2 linked regions of the Styela clava genome follow. The protein of the gene in region 2 purifies or fractionates together with the protein of the main gene of each other region. This does not show direct contact. Links are inferred from orthologs where the notes say so. Each region holds a gene or a part of one and is shown on either strand. Other genes may lie near its edges.

What was found. Proteins that work in one complex are often made in the same cells at the same time.
Region 1: the proteins of exocyst complex component 1-like (region 2) and exocyst complex component 8-like purify together in Homo sapiens (affinity purification with mass spectrometry; 3 studies listed by BioGRID and IntAct, counting the BioPlex papers as one, with this or other methods). This does not show direct contact. The link is inferred for Styela clava from reciprocal best matches to the Homo sapiens genes EXOC1 and EXOC8.

The regions. Positions count from the first base shown.
Region 1 is NC_135260.1:14,958,889-14,969,884, forward strand, and holds exocyst complex component 8-like, read right to left. Parts: upstream 4,433-10,996; 5' UTR 4,385-4,432; coding exon 2,285-4,384; 3' UTR 1,067-2,284; downstream 1-1,066. Other genes in the region: hyaluronidase-like, read right to left, coding at 1-993; ciliary microtubule inner protein 1-like, read left to right, coding at 5,897-5,970, 6,154-6,235, 6,525-6,788; uncharacterized protein LOC120347828, read right to left, coding at 8,714-8,843, 9,479-9,537, 9,863-9,971, 10,810-10,934. UniProt on the Homo sapiens protein: Component of the exocyst complex involved in the docking of exocytic vesicles with fusion sites on the plasma membrane.
Region 2 is NC_135261.1:10,509,706-10,521,434, forward strand, and holds the start of exocyst complex component 1-like, read left to right. Parts: upstream 1-5,863; 5' UTR 5,864-6,010; coding exon 6,011-6,134; intron 6,135-8,469; exon of another isoform or gene 8,470-8,917; coding exon of another isoform or gene 8,918-8,955; intron 8,956-9,400; coding exon of another isoform or gene 9,401-10,439; intron 10,440-10,639; coding exon of another isoform or gene 10,640-10,779; intron 10,780-11,009; coding exon of another isoform or gene 11,010-11,085; exon of another isoform or gene 11,086-11,115; intron 11,116-11,567; exon of another isoform or gene 11,568-11,729. Other genes in the region: peroxisomal membrane protein PEX13-like, read left to right, coding at 896-2,005; 60S ribosome subunit biogenesis protein NIP7 homolog, read right to left, coding at 2,100-2,219, 2,400-2,540, 3,213-3,438, 5,572-5,627; uncharacterized protein LOC120329417, read right to left, coding at 8,918-8,955, 9,401-10,439, 10,640-10,779, 11,010-11,085.

The sequences.
Region 1 (10,996 bases), on a different chromosome or scaffold from region 2:
TATATAGTTACTAAGATTTTGACAAGCCTCAATTGAATTACCCATATTATTTCCACCCCAAAATATAACTCCCGATTCACCAAGAACCGCTGCAATGCCAATACTATCTAGAAGATCTTGAGAGTCCAAAAATTTAATTGTCTTTTTATATGATAGCATATGATATGAAAATACAGGAGCACTAACATTACTAAACCTTGCATCATCAACTCTCATTGCTTCTTGAATTCTATTTGCAACATAATTTTTAACGAAGTCTTTGTCTTTGTAAAATTCAGGTAAATATACAGAAGGATACAATGTGGTGCTTTCATCAAAAAGCCATTGTATTTCAGTATTTTTCTTCATTTCCAAATTTGAGCAGATCATATCTTTTTTAGTCATGTTGTAATAACGACAATCTGGATACAAATAATAACCCCACAATGCATGAGGCCTCAAAATCTCTCCAAGTACTAGTATTGGTTTTAAAATTCTTTCTGTCGCTAAGTTATATTCCAATGTCGCCCACCGAAGTTGTTGTGCTTCGTTCCAATCAGGGTGTTTATGTTTTATCGATTCTATTGATTTTTGTTGATATATCTTCATCAATGAATCACCCATTCTACTGAATAATGCTCGCCATAATTCACAGTCCAGAATAGCTAAACCCTGAAAGTCCTTATCTGGTATAAGTTTATTCACAGTGATCTCAAAGTCAGTTAAAATTGATTTTAAATTTGCCGCTTGCGGTAGACCACCATTGACAGCTTGTCCTGTTTTCCGATCAAAATATGGAAATTTGGACAAATTGTTTTGATAAAATATAACAAGATTTTCACCCAATTGTCCTTTGTTCTTGTTGTGGATAATATCAAAATAGTCTAAGTTCAGTTTTACCCCAAATTTTTCTTCACATAAATCGCTCGAAACATCCCATACAAATACAAAAGGTTTGTCGACGAGTGGAGGATTGTGGATGAAAGGTTTGCTTTCAATGTAGTCTCTCTTCATGTGGCATGTAGACAAAGTAATCCAACACAAAATGAAGGCCAAGCCTAATATTCTAAACATTTTATCCTGATACTCTAAATATAAGTACAGATAATATTGAAAAATGAACAGTGCCATATAGTAGTATAGAGTATAGGCTCAAATAGTAAATATTTATCAGTTTTATTTGCTTTAATTTAATTAACAATTCAAATCATAAAAAGCAGATCTTACATATAATTGATACAAAATCACATGAAATGGGCCAGATTCAAAACATTGAATAGAGATGGAATGAAAGTGCAATAATCAACAACTCTCAATAACTATATTTTTTATCAACGGCAAACCATCGAAATGTTTTTATGCAGAAATCTTCAATTTAAACGATTGTAAATCAGTTCCATCAAAAATTACCGACATCTATTATAATGTGTATTAAAACATATTGCACAAATTCTGGAGCCATATAAAATGAAACAAATTCTAAATTAATTTAAAATTGGTTGACAAAAAAACTACTCAGAAGTCCGCAATACGTAGCAGAATCATGTTATAAAGTCACTAAAAACAATAGCGCATTAAATGAAGATTCACAATAGCACAAATCTGAATAATAGAGAGTTGAAGAGGATTATACTTGGTAGATATTGAAATTGAATTTGATCTAATGTGGCTGTTTGTTGCGACAGACAATATGTCTCAAAATCCTGAATAATAGCAAAAAAATAATTTTTTTGAATGCATTTCTATCATTTCACATTGATTAAATCAAGTGATATACAGCTCACTTATTTATGAGTGCTTCTCAACATCCGTATATATTTTTTAGCGAATGAAAATCATATTATCATTTCAATATTATTCTTTATCAAAACAGGCAGTGATTGAAAATAATGTAGTTGAAGTACAGTATCTACCGGTATATCTCCCCCAAATCTACTTTCACAAATATTATTGTTCGAAGCAAATTTCTCTTTCGTAGTGAATGAAAGTCAATTTTTAATTCGAATATCATCCTTTATTACAACAGGCAGTGATTGAAAAAAATGTCAGTGGGGTACACAACATATCTCCCCCGTATCTATTTTAAAAAAATTATTGTTCAATCATATTCCTTGTCTATTCATCAGCACCTGGGGGAATAATTACTGACAGAACAATTCAACCCAACATAGTTGTACAGTTTCCATCATATTATAATGCGAATCAGGCATAATAGAAATAATTTGAGCATGATACAAAGTAAAAAAATATACAACCTAGCTTTCATAGTATTTGGAACAATTTTCAAGCAAAAAAAAGTTCTCCACTAACTAGAAGTTTGTTTAATAAAATCTCTTCTCAGATCAGTGAGTTGTTTAGGAATTTGTAAAACACATTTTTGAATTTTGTTTTCTATCAGTGGCAACAATGACTCGGCAACAAACATGGCATTACGTTTGATGAGCCGTGCTTTCTCAGGTCTTTCCTGTTCACAGCGGAGACAACCAGCAACAAAATCAGTGTAGCATCGTTCGATTTCTTCAACAGAATCAAGAAGAAGTTTTTGAATTTCCGGTAGGTACATTTTTATCACACTGTCCACATGAATAACAATGGCTCTTGTAAAAGCTAATGTTGAAAGTGTGAGATAGCAGAAGCAATCATCAAAGCAATATTGACCAATGTTTAAAATTCCATATCCAGTCATTTCTTCTTGTATTTTCAAAAGAGCCTGTGGTGTCTTAGCATTAGTTGGTTTCCACAATTCTTCAGAGCTACGTAGCTTAATAGCATCAATCAATTTTTGCTTATGATCTATGATTGTTGATTCAATGTCTTGTACAAGTAGTGAAGTAACAGCAAAATCCAAATCTAATCCAATGATATGAACAGCCTTGCTTTGAGAAAACACAGTTTTTGTGCAGTCTCCTATTTCAGCAATATCAGCTTTTCTAGTGAAAACTTGTTGCGAAATTTTTCCAACAAATACTTTAATCTCCGTTTGTGACCAAACGACAAAAGTAGAGTAACAACCCGGATGATCTTTAAAAGCAGTTTCAAATTCTTTGAGTGTTTCTTTTAGATTGTTAAAAAAAACTTTACACATTTTAGCAATGTATAATTGAAGATATCCCTCCGTTCTTAATTGTTTAAGAGCATATGAAACTGCACTAGAGCGATTGTGTAGGAATAACTGACAGGCTTTGGTACTTTCCCCAAGCTTAATGAGAAGCAAAACAGGATTCCGTGCTGCTCTGGGACCACCACGATGACTTCGATCAGGAGCAGTTTGTAGTTCTTTGGTCAACACACTCACAAGTTGAGACGTTCTTGCTGATAACTTAGCATCGACTTCTTTCTTTGTTGCACTTTCACCAATGCCATCTAAAAAGGCTTTTGTCTTTAACACTAATTCTACAGCTTCTTTGAAATATCGCTGGGCAATGTAAACATCTAAATCTTCAGGCATTTCTTGAATCCAAACCTCATTTAATTTATCATTATCCAGTGATGCATTTCCTTCCATCTTTTTTGACCCTGATGATTTACCAGGCGATTCAGAAAAAGGATTAAACGGATCTAAATTTGGTGACATAGGAGTTGTAGGTGACACAGGGGAATTATGTTCTCTGTCTGCCAAAAACTTTTTCTTTGTTTCTTCTAAAATGTCAAGCCATTCTCTTTTTTCCTTTGAACTTTCACATTGAAACATATTGGAATCAGGAAAAATCAAAATCTTGAAAGCACATTTGACTGGTCCAGCATCTCGAGCATTGATAACGGCCAGATTTTCCAAATCAAAAAGACATTCAAATTTATATTTACCAGGGACTGGTTGTCCTCTTCTTAAACCAGCCCAGGTTGTCACCATCAACGCATCATTAAAAAGAAATAGATGAACTTTACGAATGGGAGAAAAATTATCCATATCAAGCTCTGAAAGATCACCATCATGAATAAGAAATCTAGTAGAAACATCAGTGATATCTGGACACCCTTGAACTTTCTCTACTAAAGATCTCATAACTTTACGTTGCTCATCTTTTTTGATATTTTCTTTGCTTTTTTTTTCATTTGCACCATACTGTGGCTGTTCTTTTATAAGAAAAATATTTGCCATCGAATCCATAAGATTCTTTTGCTCTGTTAATATATGATTGAGCTGAAACATTTCACCCTCAACGTAAGAAATTTCTTTTGCAGTTTCAATGAATTGCTCATAGTATTTATAGACTTGTTTCTTCAAAATATGAGCAGTTTCTTCACCCAATGTCTGTACTCTCTGTTTGTGCTCCTGTAGATCTTTATCTCCATCTGATTGGGCACTGATGCTCTTTGCATATTGCTTTGGATCAAAGTTTCTGTGTCCAATCGTCTTTGCTAAAGCAGTAGACTTTTTAGGCACAGGTTGAGAAGCACTTTCCATTCTAATATGACAATTATTTATAACAGTGCTAAAACATTGTCAAATAAAGATTACTTGTTTGAAATTTGAACTTTAGAAGGAGCAAAAGAGAAATGTAAGTTAAACTAATAAATTCATGTGTTTGAGTTCTAAACTTCTAGATTGTGCTTAGGAATTGTTTTTCATAACCAGGATTGCGTATAGCACCTCCCCCTTAAAAAATCAAGCCGATATTACAAAAAATGTTGACATTTTGCTGCTGATACTATATTATAAAGTATTTCGCTCTTGTCTGCTTGTAAACTATAGAGCATGGTTATTAAGCACAAATCAATGTCCTATAAAGAAACATTTAAAATAAATTTATGTTCTCAATTTTATATCAAAACGGATACGTAATCATCCAAAATTATGTCACTACGACATCACAGTGACGAAATAAGGCATGCCAAAATATAAGAACTGTCGTCTAAAAGGAAATCATGCCCTCAAAATCGAGAAATGATACAAAGATGAGGAAACACAGAAACAAGAGCGAGTACCGGTATGAGTATGACGATGTATACATACTTTGTAGGGGTCTCGTGTAGTTTCGTACCTAACGTACTTCTAGTGGGCGTAGCATAACAATTTTTTGATATGTCAATCCTAACCCCCATCTGACTACGCCATCGAAAAATTGAATCGACGATGAAGAACTGACTGATGTTATCGATCTCGCTCCTATTGGAATCGTTGCGACGAGAAAACGAGAGAAGTAACTGTTCGATTTCGTGTGCTCGTTTGCGCGTCTTGGATGGCAGTTCGTATAGTTTGAAGGGCTCTATTACGTCACTGTGACGTCGTAATGACGTACTTTTTGGATGGTGTAGTCAGGTGGGGGTTAGGATTGAAACGAGGAAAAATTGTCATGCTACGCCCACTAGAAGTATGTTAGGTACGAAACTACATGAGACCCACTTTCTGACTTTGTAGCTTGCTCAACTTGCAGACTTGGGTGATCGTTTGCCTGTTTTGAGCCTTTGTCCTGTATATTTTGTATTTTCGTGGACCCTGAACCCTCTCTCCTACTGTCCTGTTAGAACAATTACCAGTACTGAATTATGACTCAATAATTGAGTACGGTAGGGAATTTATAATACGGTACCGGTAATGCTATTTGTGAATACTGAAATGAGCTACTCATTTAACAATCGTTAAGATAGAATAAATTTTCCATATCTATTCCAGATGACTTCAAAACGTCAAATACTGAAATATAATTTATGAATAAGATTTACCGTACCAATATACTGATATACCGATTCAATGCACTCGAAAATCTTTTGAAATACGCAAAGGAAATCACTACCGTATCTGACTATGCAAAACGTAAAAATTTAGTCTGGGAAGTTAAACGTTTTGGGGTGAAAGGTCGGCCGATTTTATTCCGTCATGAGCTCACTAGGTGGCGATTATAGTCACCATAGTAACTGTATCAGCTGATCGCTTGCAAGTCTTGTCACAATTTCTTCTGAGTGACTTTTTCCAAAAATGGCTGCTGCTGCTGCGGGGAAGGTAGGGAGGCAAGTTGCCGGCTGCAACTACGTAGCCAACGATGAGATTTGGTGAGTGAGAGTCGGATATCGGAAAAGTCATACCGGTATACCAGACAATGTGTCATTTGCAGTATGCAACACATTTTATAGACAGTAGCCTGCCTATCACCAGTAGTGTCTAACGTTATTCATATGATCTCTGTATCTAGTCAGTAGACTATCATAATTTTCACTGGAGTTGCTTTGTTTCAGGAAAAGTCATGTTCATATGGAGTGGTCAGCATCGAGGAAATGGCCTCAGAATTGGGGTTTCATGACCCAAACTTATAGAGAGGTATGAATTGTAATTTTCATAAATGATCTGCAATCTTTTACATTATTGTATTGTTTTTTGTTATTAATTGTATTGATTAACAAATGTGCATTTAAGATTCTAGAAATGATCAATTATGTGATATGAACCGGTATACTGATTTTAACTGCAAAAACTGATTTACACAGTTTTGTAACAAATTGTGTTTGTATAGGTGAGCAATCTCAGTCCATTGTACCCACTGTACTGTGATTGAACCTTGATAAAATAGCTATCGTTGTTTTAATAAAATATGCTTCAACTATTGCAGCTGGCAGAAGATGGTGAAACAGAGGAAGAAAAACCGTCAAAACCCAAAGTAGAACTTCCAGAACAGCTGAGGTTACCTCCGATCACACCAATTGAAAAATACATAAAAGTTGGAAAATCACCACCATATCCAGGAACTACAACAAGAATGATTGGCTGGCGATCGACAAAACGAGACTGCAGTCTTGAAATATATGGACCGTATGCCAAAGGCAAGGGTGGGCTTGTTAAACAGCTCAACTGGCCACAAGAAGGAATTATATAAATATTTTTTATTATTTTAATTAGTGTGATAAATTTTTAGTTGAATATTTTTTTTTGACTTAGCCTGCACGGTACAACACTTTTAGTGCAATTTACACAATATCTTCTTTCAAATTCCGGCAGAATTATGTATAGGGTGTCTTCTCACTTCACTAACCTAATTCATATGTCACACTTTTCAACTGTATCAATGAAACTAATACTCGTTAGCTATTATAATTTAGTTGTCTGCAACTCATACAAATTATGTCCTCAAGTTTCACAGCCTATACACAAGTTTTCTTAGTATTATGCACTTGCCATATTTTCAATGAGATTATGTAGTTGATATCTGAAGCACTGCTTCCAATGTAATGCCATTTTGTATTAATCGTAGCACATATATATTTAATAATGCACAGTTATCTAATAAAGTTGGTATGCATGTTGATGATACTTGTATTTCTATGAATTCAACTTGGCAAGAGTTTGTTGGCAAGTGCTCACAATGAACAGTAGCCTTGGTTGGTGCCTTTCTGACATAGCATTTTTCCTTCAAATCAGCTTGAAATAATATTTTCAAAATTTAGAGGAAACAATGCATTGCTGATGTTAACAGAAACTTTTGAACAACGTTGTTAAGGGATTGCCACCAAACTTCTTTGGTGAATTTAAGGCGAAATTACTATTACACCATATAACAAGGCAATCATATAAAGTCTGTATATTCAATTGGCAGCTGTGAAAGGGATAAACTTTAGGCTTTAGTATCATCAAATCAAAATTTTAGGGATGATGTTCGTTTATGTAACACAGCCAACCGAACATATTGCAAAGCTACTAATCACTTCAAAGGCACTATGCAATCGCTGGCGAAGATAGACTGTTCAATATCAGTTGGTTGATTGCTCCGGTGTTGAAAATACACCTCTGACAGCGGCATACATTGATCAAAGGAAGTGGAATAACACTTTTATATTATTTAATTTTATCTTTTTATGAACAAAACTTAGTTTAGTTAAGGTTAGTCTATTGCCTCGTAAATTCTATTTCTACCTTAGTTCAGTTAAGGTTAGTCAGTGACTCGCAAATTTTTAAGATCTCCCGCGATGTTTTTTCAGGTCCCAATGTCCAGCAACGATTTAATAGATGAATACTCAAACTCAACATGAGTTATTTGTTTTGCCAACTGCAAAATGTTTTCATCGCACATCATGCCATACATCTTTAAGCTTCAAACATTAGGAAGTTAGTGGCTCTTTCACTGAAACATATCTCTGAGCAACTACAATATCTGATACCGAAAAGCTAAAATGATTGATGGTATTCAACCAATTACCAGTATCTATAGTTACCACAGACTATGCTTTACAAGATCTATTTATTAACATACAGAACGTGTATCTGAGAAGCAGAAAAAAAAAATAAGTTGATGGAATTACAATAAACTGGAATAAATTTTGATTTCTCAAAAAAAGGTAAAGACTACTACATTACTATCATCACTAGCACAGTGGGAAAAAAAACAGAATAATACAATATATGAATATCACTGTGTTATAAAGAAAGTACCATTAATGACAGAGCTCAGTGCTTTATAGTACAGCTTAGAGCTATGTCTATATGATATTTCATAATAAATTCAAAGATGCGAAACTCATAGTCTAAGCAAGAGTCCTGGAATCAAATTTTTTGTTACATACTTTAAAGAGACGAAGAATGTCTCAATGTTAACCTATTAGGCAGTACTTATAACGGTACTTGTTTCTTTTGCAATCATCATAGTGGTTTAAAATATTACATACACAATATAGAAACATTTGATACCATTTTCAAACGACAAAGTCTTCAGAAATCCACCTCCACACAGTTCCAATTCTTCTTTGGTTTTATACCAAGTAAAAATTTAGCATGAATCATGTTTTGTAATTAGTGATCAAGCAAAGATTAGATTCCACGTCCTAGCAACTTCACAGAAAGATTGAAATTTGTTTCAGTTTGAATGACAAGAGTTCCCTCAAACTCTCCCTTTGCAGTTGGTTTGAAGGTGACTGGCAGACAAGCATATGACATCGGCCTTAAATTCATATTTGAAGTAAAGTTAATGTACTTAAGTTAAATGTGTTTCACTGCACAGACCTATCTGCCCCAACCAGAATACAAAGACATTGTTAGTTGTCATCTTATAATTATGAGGCATTGGGATTTTTGTTTTACAGTATTACAGTACCCACAATCTAGAATCAAGCTGTCAATACCTAGTCAGTGGCCTGAAAATTTTAGAAGACCAAAAAAGTCGCTAATAAGAAGTGCAATTTTTACAAGGATAATTTTGTTGAAATCACCCACTTTTTATCAGCGTAACATGGTTATTTAGGCGGTGAACAATTTATTTTGATTATCTATATTTCAGCAAGTTCCCTTTTCTCAGAAGCATGTCGAGTGAAAAAACGCAATATTATGCGATCATTGGCAATATATTATGCTCAGTTGCCCTTGGGAAGTACACCATAGTCACTGTAGCTAAAATGGTCATATATGCACACAATGTACTTTCTTTTAATTTTTAAACTGCCGTCCGTACGTATACTCTTTTCGGATTACGATGATACATAACTAATCAATTTAAAGTATGCTCAATTTCGGAAACGCTAAATGTAGATTTCAAACCCCGCCTTTGAATTACTTTCAAACTTAAAAAGTAACTTTTACCTGATAGTATGTCGCTGATGTGTGATGTGAAATGGAGGTCGAACATTGATGAATTTAACCTGAACAATTAAATAATGTTTAAGAATTTTAAATAAAAAAAATATTGTTAAATAAATCTATTCATATTGAACCAAATCACACGTATATAAATAAGACACAGAAAAGAAAAAATAGGAAAACTAGTAAGCAAAACTGGGGAATACAATACACAGAATAGTGAAACAATGAACAATGCATTTTATAAGACCTTTCAAATGAAAAAATGAAATGAAATTAGAAAAACATCAAAAATTGAATGCAAAGATTTTCGACAGCATTTAAACCGGGTCAACATATTTACGGTGTTTATGCCGAACTTGGAAGAAAAAAAAATTACAATCATACATTGTGAGACTCCTTGCTCCTATTTTTCACCGGAATCTTCAACACAGATGATTCATTTACAGGAACATCTGAAAATTTCACTTGATCTTCAGAGACATAAATTCCGTTTCTGTAAAATATACGAAATAGCATCAACAATACATTTGTTTTGCAATGATAGTGAAAGACAATATCTGATAAATTTTCCTATGTAAGCATTGACATAATTAGGAACAAGATTTGCACACATATAAAAAGAAGAAGTCAGTGCAAAAATTCACACATAAAAAACCGCGAAAATAAAGCAAACTTATTTTTATATGAAGCTAATTCACATCTTTTGCTTCGAACAAGGTCGTCACTGATATCGATATATATTATATATGTCGAGCTACTTAATAACCGGAAGGACATGGAATCTTTCTGGTTCGAAAAGGCCCAGCCAATTTAATACACCATGGGTGATGTCAGTCAGTCACTAGTTTATTTATTCACATACCAAAAATACAAGCGTGCATCAACAGTGAAGTAAAATAAAAATAATGTATTTCGGGATGAATGGAGAAGCAATAAACCAGTATTGGTTATCGAGCATTGTCACCTATGAAAGAGCCTAACTTTGAATCGTATAAAGATAAAAAAAGCCGAACAATATTCACTAACAGTAGCCACCCTTTCATAAGTATGTTCAAGGTGAACTGGTGGTTCCAGTATCGCTTGTGGTAAGGGGAGAGAACGATTCCAGGCATGACTGGCGGGGTAACCATGGCAACCTCAATAGATGGAATAACAAATGAAAGGTGGCTAGTTTTTGTGTGTATGGGGGGGGGGGGAGATTTTACCCTACGATGCCACTGAAGAGTGCTAACTTGGGACATCAACCAAATGGATGTTTTAAATATGCTGAACAGTTCATATATCAATGTCTCTAAACTGTGCAAATTTGCTATAATTATTTAATAACCAACCCTTCTTTTGTTTTGTTCATATTTTGACTTTGCATTACAGGTTTCATCGATTTTATTCCTTGTCCAACAACTTGTATTCGTACTTTATTTAACGACAATGCAGCAGAATCTGCAGCTTCATGATGCTGAAAAATAAATTTGATACAATGCAAATCATTGCTGTGTTAAATATTATTAAGTGAATAAT
Region 2 (11,729 bases):
TACTAATAAATTCTAATTATGCTTGCATTATAAAACTGTCATCTACTGGTGTTATAACAACCGTTAGTTATATTTATTCAATCATGTTATGTGGTGCCATCATTGAAGCTGTATATTTATTTGTTAACTTATTATTATTGTCACTGAAGACCTTTTAATAAATAGTTGCTAAATTGTTTGTTTTCTATTACCTACTATTGATGTTTTTTTCAGAATGATTTGTAAATTGTTAAGGCTGTGACATGGTCATACATTGAAAACCTACTTGAATTTGTCAAGGCAGTTATATTCGGATCTGCTGATGTCAATTTTAGCAATCTCAGTGGTTCTCGAACTCATTTCCATCAATTATTTTTTGCGCCATGTTTAAAAATAATAAAGCCATGAAAGCAAGAAAATAAATGCATTTTGCCAAAGAATTAAACAAATCTAAGTCCAGGCTTTGTAATTTGATATAATCACAGCGAAGGTGCTTGCCTTTGAACACCAGAGAATCTTATCGTACCCCCCCTCCTGAGAAACTCTGAGCTGGTTATTTATGCAATTCATATTCGGTATGAATATGAATCCACACACATAATGCTTATCTTATTTGATATCGTCAATGCAAAACACAATATACGGTAATTGAACGTCTGCTTAGTGTAAGGCAGTACCATTATTTTAGTGGTAATATTACTGTTATACAGATCCATTTGATAATCTTAAAATATATGTAAGTATTGTATCAATAAGTTTTTCCATAAGTGATTTCAGTGGGAGTAGTATATTCTTTGGTAGTTGCCAAATTGCAATTTTTTTCTTCGCAAGTTCAAAGTTGCTGAAATCGTACTAGAATTGTTAGTTTTAGCTTCTGATATACACAATACTGCAATCAATACACATAATTTGTATCATGTTTGTCTTAGGTTATGACCAAATAGCTTTATTTCCTAGTTATACAATATCTAATAAAATAATGGCTGATCCACCAATAAAACCTTGGGAGATAAACCGGACTCAAAGTGCTGGTAATATTGGACCATTGCATTCTATCTCAAATCCACCTGTTGTAGATGCTTCATTGACAGCAACTGATCAGGCGAGAAAAAGGTCGCCGCCTCCTGTTCCCAATAGACCATCCCAGCGTACTATGACTCCAATGGGTTATCAGCCTTCATATGGAGGATATGGTTCCTATGGCTATGGTACTGGATATGGAGGGATGTATGGTGGTGGAATGGGGAGCGGAATGTATGGGGGTTATGGTGGTGGGGGTATGTACGGTTCCTACAATAGATCATATGGTGCACCGGGAGGATTTGCTAGACAAGCAGAAGAAAGCACTAGAAATGCATTTCAATCTGTTGAAAGTATTGTGAGAGCATTCACATCCGTTTCTGCTATGTTAGAATCTACACTCGGGGCTGTTTACAGCTCATTCCGAGCTGTGCTTGATGTAGCAGATCAATTTTCGAGGGTGAGGGCAACATTTGCTGATATTCTTTCTTCTATCGCAGTCTTCCGTTTGATACGATTTTTATATCGCCGAGCTTTGGCATTTCTAAACTTGGGAGGATCATGTGAAGAGGCATGGGATACGGTCAAAACAGACTCTGATGTTATACCACAGAAGAAGAAATCAAGATCGTGGCCCATACTTCTTTTCATGTCTGTTGTTATAGGAGGCCCTTACTTGATTTGGAAATTATTGAGTGGAACAGGCAATGTACAAAAGCCTCAGACACCATGGGCAAGCGGATTATCAGATCATGTTGTTGCTAGAGTAGAATATGATTTTGAAGCTGATAATGATGATGAACTAACTGTGAAAGTTGGCGACCTGTTAAACCTTGCACCAAAAGACCAACAACCACATATACAGAATTGGCTTATGGCATCTTTAGATGGTACAAATGTAGGGATGGTTCCTGCAACTTATGTTAAGGTATTAGGCCGTCGAAAGGGAAGACAACCAGAATCAGCTGAGAATGGCCAACCTGAAGCTTCGGCACCACCTACATGACAAACTACTCGTAAACTCTCAATCTTTGTAATATGCAAATCACCCGTTTCAATAAAAATGCAATTTAAAGTAAATTTTTTTTCATTGTATAATTTCATGTTAAAGTGTCTTCATTACGAAGATATTCTCCAATATCCGCTTGATGAAAAGCAATGATTGACATAGGATCCGCATGCCTGCATTCGGCTGTCGATTTTGCTGCTACACCAAATCCCTATAAAAGAAAGGCGATTACATGAAAAATCTTTAAACAATTAGTTCATGAGATATCCCAACAAAAATTGTCAATTTAGATGTTTTTTGAATAGCCTGCAATATAAAATACATAATGGATACAAATTCAGGAAAGCAAGAGACAAGTCTTTTTATTACACGTTATACCTTTACTACTTACCAAAGGTATATCATTCATTGAATATAACACTATGCCTTGATATTTAGGAGTTCCTTCAGTAATTCTTCCTAATCCTGATTTTAATATGTGATTTCCATATAAAAATGATTGTTCTGCACCTGGTTTCACCCAAACTTTGAACTGAAAAAGTAATTGACATTATTTGATATTCTCAAACAATGATGGTTATTATTGCATTTGCACTTGTGTCAATTCTAATTATGCGGCATGTATGTATTGGTGTATGGACTATTAATCAACTACAATATTATTTTACATTTCTTTTTATGTTCAACTTCAATTATTTTGCAATGTATGACTGTTGTGTAAATATTCTTCAAATAATAAGAACAGGCTTCATTATTCACAATACAGATGAAGTAATAAGCATTGTAGGAAATCAAGAGATGTATTGTGGCGTGGGTACTACACTCCTTGGAACAATGGGCCACAAAAATGTCAGGGCAATTGAGCTGAATCTAAATTCACACAATGGGAACAGAGTATCACAAGTGTTATGGATGTTTCTCCGGCCCTTGACCCCAGAAAAATTCTATATAACTTAGTAATTATCGCAAAATTTTGGATGCTTATTTTGTGAGTGTTTTGGAGAGTTGACACTTAGAAACTGATTTACATGATCAAACCCATTATTTTTATTAAAATATACAACCGCTTGCTCGGTTTAGCCTAGTCAATTGCAGCTTTTCCTGGACTAATTTTTGATTATTGCACAATCAAATCAAAAATTCCAATTGATACGTCATTGATGACTTTTGCTCCATGATACCTGCTTTTATCTCATAATCTTACCTTTGCATAAGGCGCTAAATAATCAAGTGCAGTGACATGGAGCCTAAATTTCTTTGTTTTTGTAAATTTTCCAAAGCACACGCCAAAGCTGATTAAATTTTCTCTGCAAACGTTAGTCGCTCTTTTCATAATTTCTTCAGATACATAATATACTCGATCTCTGTGAAGTCTGAAGCAGTATACTCCATCTGGACGATCAATCAATAATTTGATGTTCTCCCCAATACTGAAACAATTAAAAATTTAAATGTCACATTTTTCGGAAGAATTGGGGTCTAACGATGTATTTGTCATAAGGGCTTGAATGTCGCCAAAAGAAAATGTGATGTAAAAAATAAAAATAGCCTAAATTTTTTTAAAAGTCTGTCTCCCACAGAACGCTATACCCTATTTGGCATGAGATAAACCTGCTTAGTTGAAAAATTTTGTTCAACTAAACGCATCTGTCAAGAACTTCATTTCACCCCAAACAGACAATTTTTTTTTTAAACAAACACACACATTACTTTTTTGTTTGGCGTTATTTTGAAGAGTTTCGGCATTTACTTAGCTAGACCCTAGAATTGGAATTGAGATCTTCAATAGCCAGCTAAAATGCAATGTCTTTTATTGAGTGAAAATTCGAGCCACTCTCTGATTATGTCTTTGCTTGAAAGTATATTTAGAAGGTTACGAGTCGCAAATGCCATTGCATCGGTCGTCAAAATTATCTCATCAGAGTCATTACCCGCAAGTTATTTGGAAAGTGGTATTCAAGTTTTATGTGAAATTATTTAAAAAAAATTGTAGTAGAAGCAGTAGAAATAAAGTATCATAAAAGTTTCAGAGCAATAAAATTCTGTTGGCCATGATAAAAAAGAATGCAAACATGTAAGATGTCACAGTTATCATGATAGCTTAAGTAAATGTATAATGGTATTTAAGAGAGTTACAGCAAGAACTGAGAGTACCGGTGTTTGCCATTCTTTCTTCTGTATTCATATAACTTTTGGAATAAGGTTGATATTGTTGCTTTGAGTAAACTTGCATAAAATGGGCTTCAAACATACAGGGTGACCCTACCAACACCTCGCCCCCACCCAGAAAAAAAAACAGAACCCGTATATTTTCTTTTTCGAACTTTTTTTCATTGTTTACGCTTGAAGTTCTGTTTGTGCATGTATTGTACCTAACAGAATGACATATCGCAATGACTGAGTAAGAAAAAATCATGTTGCTCTTTTGAAAAACGGTAACCCTGAAATTACGGGCCCAGTGAATTAAACGCTGTGACTGCTTATAGTGCCAAACAAAATTGTGACGAGAAAAAAACATCCAAACTTTTATTTTTTCTAGTAGAAATATGTCTCACAGGGAACACTATATCCTTTTTGCCATAGGAAATACCTGCTTAGTTGAAATTGGGTAGGTTTGATTTTAACTAAATGCGTCTATGGCGAAAATTTCATTCTGCGCCTGACAGACTTTTATTTAATTATTAATAAAAAAACATAAAAATTTAGGATAGAATAATTTTTACATATTTATCCCATGGGAGAGGAATAAGACAGCTTAGCCATATGGCAAACCACGGCCTCTTGTCCGGTTACCATTCCATGTCGGGTATGGGATTAGTTAGTTATTTGTTTTCGGAAGCATGTACTTGATGGTGGAGGAAGCCGTGAACCACGCTACGGAGGCGAGAAGTCCAGCAATCCTCTCGCACATAACTATCCCTGCATGGGATTCGAACCCACGCAGAGTTATCCAGTAATCAGAGGTGCGGTGGCGAGGATATTAGGATAGGATTTACATATTTATCCCGGAGGGAAGGAAAGCCAATATTAAAGCTTTTAAATCATATGGCGAACCACGGCCTCTCGTCTGGTTACCAGTCCAGGTCGGGTATGGGATTAGTTAGCCAGCTATTTGTTTTCGGAAGCATGGACTGGATGGTGGAGGATTGCCACCGCATCTCCGATTACCTCGCGTGGGTTCGCAGGCTTCCTCCACCATCAAGTCCATGCTTCCGAAAACAAATAACTGGCTAGCTAACTAATCGCATACCCGACCTGGACTGGTAACCGGACGAGAGGCCGTGGAGAGAGCGTATTCCTAACGCTTAGCAAGATGAGCCACACCACCCAATCGTCAAAATCGACTGTTCTACTGACTCAATACAGTAGTAATATAGGCCTACCACAGAAACAGAAAAATATTTCATGTTCCCGTTTTATTGTTTTAGTGAACTACCGGTACCGGTACCGGTATAGCCTAGTCTAATAGTCCACTCATGCTACACAAAACCTTCCGACCCTAACAATTCAGCAATACCAAGAATTAGAACATCATATATATAAATATCTTTATATGTACTTACTATTTTGCAAGTTTTTCAAACAACGTTTTTGTCTCATCTTCTGTTAAAGGACGCATAGTCAGTTTATTATTTGTCAGAGACGTTGAAACCGGGGCAAGACGTGAAGCTGTGCACGAAAATCAGAAAATATCACTGCCGCTACTCGCGAAACGTGTTTGTAGTAAATAGCTGGCTTCATTAGAATCTACTAAAATACTAAATCACGTATCACGTGGTCCGCTTTTTATAATATTTTGGTAAAGAGCTGATTTATGCGGGTTGCTTTTTTGCTTATTGTCGGGATGCCTTCGGTCCGTAATTTATTATCCCAGACGGTCAGCTAAAGTTTTTGTCTTGAAACGAAATCGGCTGTTTGTCTGCTTGTGGAGAATTATTTTCTGGAGCCATATATAATTGTTCAATTTGGTTTAGTTCAGTTTAATGAGAAATAATTTTGAATATGACGGCGATAAAACACGCCTTGCAAAGGGATTTATTCACCCCAAATGATGAAAGATTGTTGGGCGTTGTTCACGTTGCTAAAACGGGAAAGAAAAAGAAGTCATCTTTTTTATGTGCTTCAGGTTAGTAATCTATGCTATATGTATAAGGTATAGTATCCAAATGATATAAGGTGTTTTCGTGAAAGTTTTTTGTGTGTTTAGATCCTGAATACCACTTTTTGCTATAGAGTTTTGTCCTTTTGTCATTTTATTTACAAATACTGAAATTGCTAAATTACTGAAATTATGAATACCCGCTGCACTCTAATTCACAAGGCAAGCCTCTCCTTTTATGGTCACAAGTTTATTTTGATTCTTAAAAGTCTGAAAAAGCTAACGAAGACTAGTTTTCCAGCTTTTTGATTGTACATTTTAGTTAAACCACTGGCACGGCCGCAAGGAATACACTCACCACCGGTACCTCTGATTACTCTGCATGGATTCGCAGGCTCAAATCCCATGCGGGGATAGTTATGTGCGAGAGGATTGCTGGACTCCTCGCCACCGTACGGTGGTTCATGTAACCCCTGGTCGGTTACGGCTGCCTCCACCATCAAGTCCATGCTTCCGAAAACAAATAACCAACTATTCCCATGCCTGACATGAAATGGCAACCAGACGAGAGGCCGTGGTTCGCCATATGGTTAAGCCTTCTTATCGCCTTTCCTCCCCTGGGATAAATATGTAAATCCCATCCTATTTTTCTATCAATCCAACTGAAGTTAATCATGCAATATTGAGCAATGTAATCATTGTAAACAGAGTATTGCTGATACGAACTAGTCAAAAAACATTACAGCATTAATTGAGAGTGAAACAAACATGACAAGTTTGATCGGGCTTCAAGCTTGGGGACCATTGTGATATTACATGTATATAATTTACGTAAAAAGTTAATATAAGTCAAGCTAATGTTTTTTACTTCCATGCATTCTTTAGCTAATATTCAGAGTGGAATAATGACAGAATGGGTTGTCAAGGACACACTTGACAATGCCACGACAGTCAAACTGCAGGTTCAGAGGTTGGAATACTGTGTTGCACAATCATAATATGTACTAATTGAGTATGATTCCTTTCACTATTCAAGACCATGTGTCTGAACCTTTCGATTAGTAATTTGATTTGTCAGTTGGTTCATCGTGCTTGAATCATGATTGCCATGCCACTGCTCATCACTCAGAGCCTTCATGGGGATAATTATGCAAGAGCAGATTTCTGACTGGTCTGTTGTTACTTTCTCCGCCATCCAAAAATAATTCCAGGTAGAGTAGGATTGGCCATATTGCTCATTGTTCTGTAAGAAACGATTGCTTACAAGTTATGCATGTGCCTTTAGAAGCAGTATATATAAAATTCTTATGGCCTGACGGTGTGGCACTTCATGCTGAGCCGAGGCATTGAGAAAACGCTTGCTACTGCACATCCGATTACCCTGCTTGGATTCGCAGTTTCGAATTCCGTGTGGGATTATCATGTGCGACGGGATTGTGGACTCTGCGCCACCTGGTTCACAGCTTCCTCGACCATGCATATAACTGTCCAACTAATCCCACACTCGAGGCCCTGATTCGGCATAGGATTAAGCTGTCCTATTGGCTTTCTCCTCCCCCAGGATAAATATGTAAATCTTATATATTGCTTGTAAATGAGGATCAAATAAATGAACCCTCTATGAGAGGTGATTGAAGAAATAACTAATTTTATTACATTTTACAATATTCAGGAAAATTTTAGTATTTCAGAATACTTGATTGCCAGAATTGTACTCAGATATGGGATTTCTAATAATTGTGTGTCCTGTTTCCACAAATTATTTATCAGTTTGAAATGTAATGTGTGACGCCCAACCTCTGATACTGCTTATTCCCTATGCTAAATGTGATTCTAATCGTTATATGTTTTTGTGGCTTTCAACACTATTAATGCTTAAAACAAATTGTTCATATACTTAGTATTGTCTGCACACAGATTCATGTCCTAACACTGGCTGCTGTACGGTGATTGTTTTTTAGTAAGTAGAGATGTTTACTTTCTGATTGTGCCTACAGATAGTTGTTATTATAAGTTTAATTTGTAAAAGTTGGCGACATTGGACGATAAATATTTCTTTGTTAAGCATTATTCGAACACTGCCCCATTGTGACAGACAGGAATAACGAGTGTGTCGCAATTTATAGTATGATGTGGTGATTATTTGTACACGGCCCGCACGCTTCTGGGGATATGTATATTTGGCCCACTAGTACATCAAGTTTACCTACCACTGGTCTAACTTCTTCAGGCTAATTGAAATGTAACCTGAACCTAAAAGCGGAATGACCAAACCAAATGAACTATGATTTTCTGTGATATTCAGCATAACATGACTCTTTTACCGAAAATTGTTAGGAACCACCGGTCCATCACTACCAAATGCCTTCAAGTGTTGATATTTTAATACCTGTATAATTTCAATAAAGAATAATTAAAAGCATGATTACACAACACACTTGCACGAATTTGAAACGAAATGTAAAAGGAAAAATAAATAATTGATAAAAAGATAGGGGCAAGACTTAAAATTGACTTACGGTAGGCAAGTATGTATAAAATGGTCACACAAATTCAGGGAAACTTCTGTTGACTCAATAAAAAATTGACATAGCATAGTAAAATTTTGTAAAAGCTAAAATGAACGCTCTTAGATCTACTGTACAACAGAATTTATGATTGTGTATAAAACAGGTTGATACTAATCATAACCCATCGTGTGCTTTAAAGTAAATCCTTGCCAGTTGCAGATAACTTCATTGTATAAGACTAAGAGGTTCGCTGGATTGCCTGGCATTGAAACATGGCAATTTCCTCACTCTTCATGCTTGTTACTCATCTTCAGTACATTGTCGTTTTGATGGAAGGCCTATAGATAATAATATAATACTTTATGGATGAGATAGCATACCATTCTGAATAATCTCTTAGTGATGTAGACTGAATAATACCAGACTAGCAATGCTGGGTATGTTATGCAGGATGTCTCACATCTACGACCTATGGTAATCAATACTATGTGTGAACTCATCTTTTTGTGCACATAAGCAACCTGAGTCTAGCAAAACATTTGATATATCCATCCATACCTACTCTATGCATTGATTTTAATAGGTTTGATAATTTCATGTCAAAGTTTTCAAGGCAGGCAGATACGAAATAATCTCTGACACACTCAAATATTATTATCCAAGTACATTGCGGTGCATAATTCGGGGGAACAAATTTCAACGATAGTTCAACCAGAGGCTTCAAAAGAAATTGAACAATCATGCACTGGTTGTAACAAACTTATAAAAAAAAAGAATATGTACCTTCTTCAATTTTAACTATATGGGCATCATGTGGAGGATAAATCTGTGTCTGACTTCTTTTTTTATAATCCATGTTATTGAATTTCTTTCTTATCGCCCGATGTAGTGTAGGGGAGTATCTTAATCCATTTTGACAAAGAACCGGGTACTCAGAGCATAGGTTAGTAACTGTACACTTTACTTCGTATTGGTCAGGATTTCGTCCGAGAACATTTTTGAGAATAGTTGAAATATCTCTCACTAATTCTTGGAATGCTTTTCTGTTCGTATTATTTAAGATGTCATATCCCTTTGACATATATTCCCGTAGCGATACGTTTAAAGGAAAAGGCCAAGTTATACCATTAGGGTAAGGCAAAGGAGATGCATTTTTAGAAGCAAGATAGCTTTTCTTCTGGTTTTGGAAGGTCATTGTACTAGAGGTTTCAGGACCATCCGATACCTCATCATCAGGATTGGAATTATCATGCAGGTCAATGGGACTTTGTGATGTCACATGGAGAGAATTCCAGTCTTTTAAAGCTGAGTAAAGCATTGTCCAACCATCCTCTCCTTCACTGCGAAGGCCTGGGTATTCAACACATAACATGGCTGCTGTATATCGTAAATCACCTTCTGATATATTTGGTCCAAGACTGTTTTTCAAAGTGTTATGAACTTCAGCCACAAGGCTGTTAAACACAGAATCATTTCGCTTAATACTGTTAATGCCCACTAAAGACTCTTTGAGAATTTGGCTTAGTGGGAAAGGTGATGTTATATTTCCAGGATAGGGAATGAAAAATGTATTAGGACTTTTAGGGGACTTAGGTACGATCTTATTATGTATTGGTGAGGAAGGCCCAAATATAGATGAATTCGAGGATTCGGCTTCATCATCGGAAGATATTGGAACAAGACCCTCGGGGGTTTGTGCATTTTTACGAAAGTAATTTGAAAACATATTCGGAGATGAAACTGAAGTAACTTTCTTAATGATGCACGGATCTCTTTCTTCTTGTATATTTTCATTAAGAATAGTCTTCGTTGTTCTTGCTTCCTACAAAAAAAAAATTTATTTTTTTGAGTGAGTGTATTGTCACCTTTCATGATGCATATCTATATTGAAAAATATCATAATATAAAATTTATTTATGTTTCACAGCAGAATTCAATTTCCTCAATAAACTAAAATTGTTAAATCCAAGTAGAACAAGAAGATTAAGATAAATAAGCATTCTAGAAGCCCTGATGCCATACCTGTAATTTAGGAGGACTTCTCTTGAATGCTTTAAAAAATAACCACAATTCTTTTCTGATTCCAAAGCGAAATCCTCTGAATTCCTCATTCACATCTTCTCTAGTTAGTTGATCGATGTCATCCATTTGGAATTCAGCATCTTAGAAAAAAAGGTAGTTTGAAGTAGGAACTTAGGGAAATACCGTATTTTCAGGCTTATTGGGTGAAAATTACGGTAATTTTAGTATGACAAAAAATCAATATTTTGATATTGAAAGTACCTGTATATCATTATTGCGTTTATAAAAAACTTTTTCTGTTTTATAATATCAATCCAACCACCAAAGTAGGTAGCACATAATAACCATCATTTGGAAAATGTGAACCTACCTTCTATTGCCTTCACAATATCAGAGGTAAATTGTGTTGATGCTTTAGCTATCATCTCTGACAGGTTTGCAGACATTTTAACGAGTTTTGATTAAGAGTTTGAAAGCTGTTAAAGTAAAAGCGTTGTGTCATTTGATGAAATTGTTGATTTAAAAAAATGTTATCATTGTTAATTTTCAAAATACTCAATTTAACCCCAACTGTATTTAATGACATAGACTACTCAAAATATGGTCATGGGCTTTTAATATCCACATGTTTTTTAATAGAACTAGTAAGCTCTTAAATATCTTCCCAAAAACCATCCTAACCTGACAAGCTGAGCAGTAACAAGTGAATAATGAGATTTTCATATTTATTCCTGTGAGAGGAAAGTTGATTAATCATAGGCGGATATTATGAACCGGCCTTTCGCCCGATTACGAGTTCCATTTGGGGTATGGACTCTTTCAGTCCCATACCAATCAGCCGATGCTGCATGACACATACATATATCAGTAACTTCCTAAGTTGTTAGCAAAGACAGAAATTCGGTCTTTTAGAAGTGCTTCAACGTACTTATCAGTATATTTGACAACCATCGCACCACTGGTACCCTTAATACTCCACCGTAGTCATTTATTCGACAGTTAGGACGCAATATTCCGCTTCCATTTAGTAAACACAACCCCCATATACTGTTAAAGCATAGGACGTCTGTGTTTACAACGGGGTCGAACT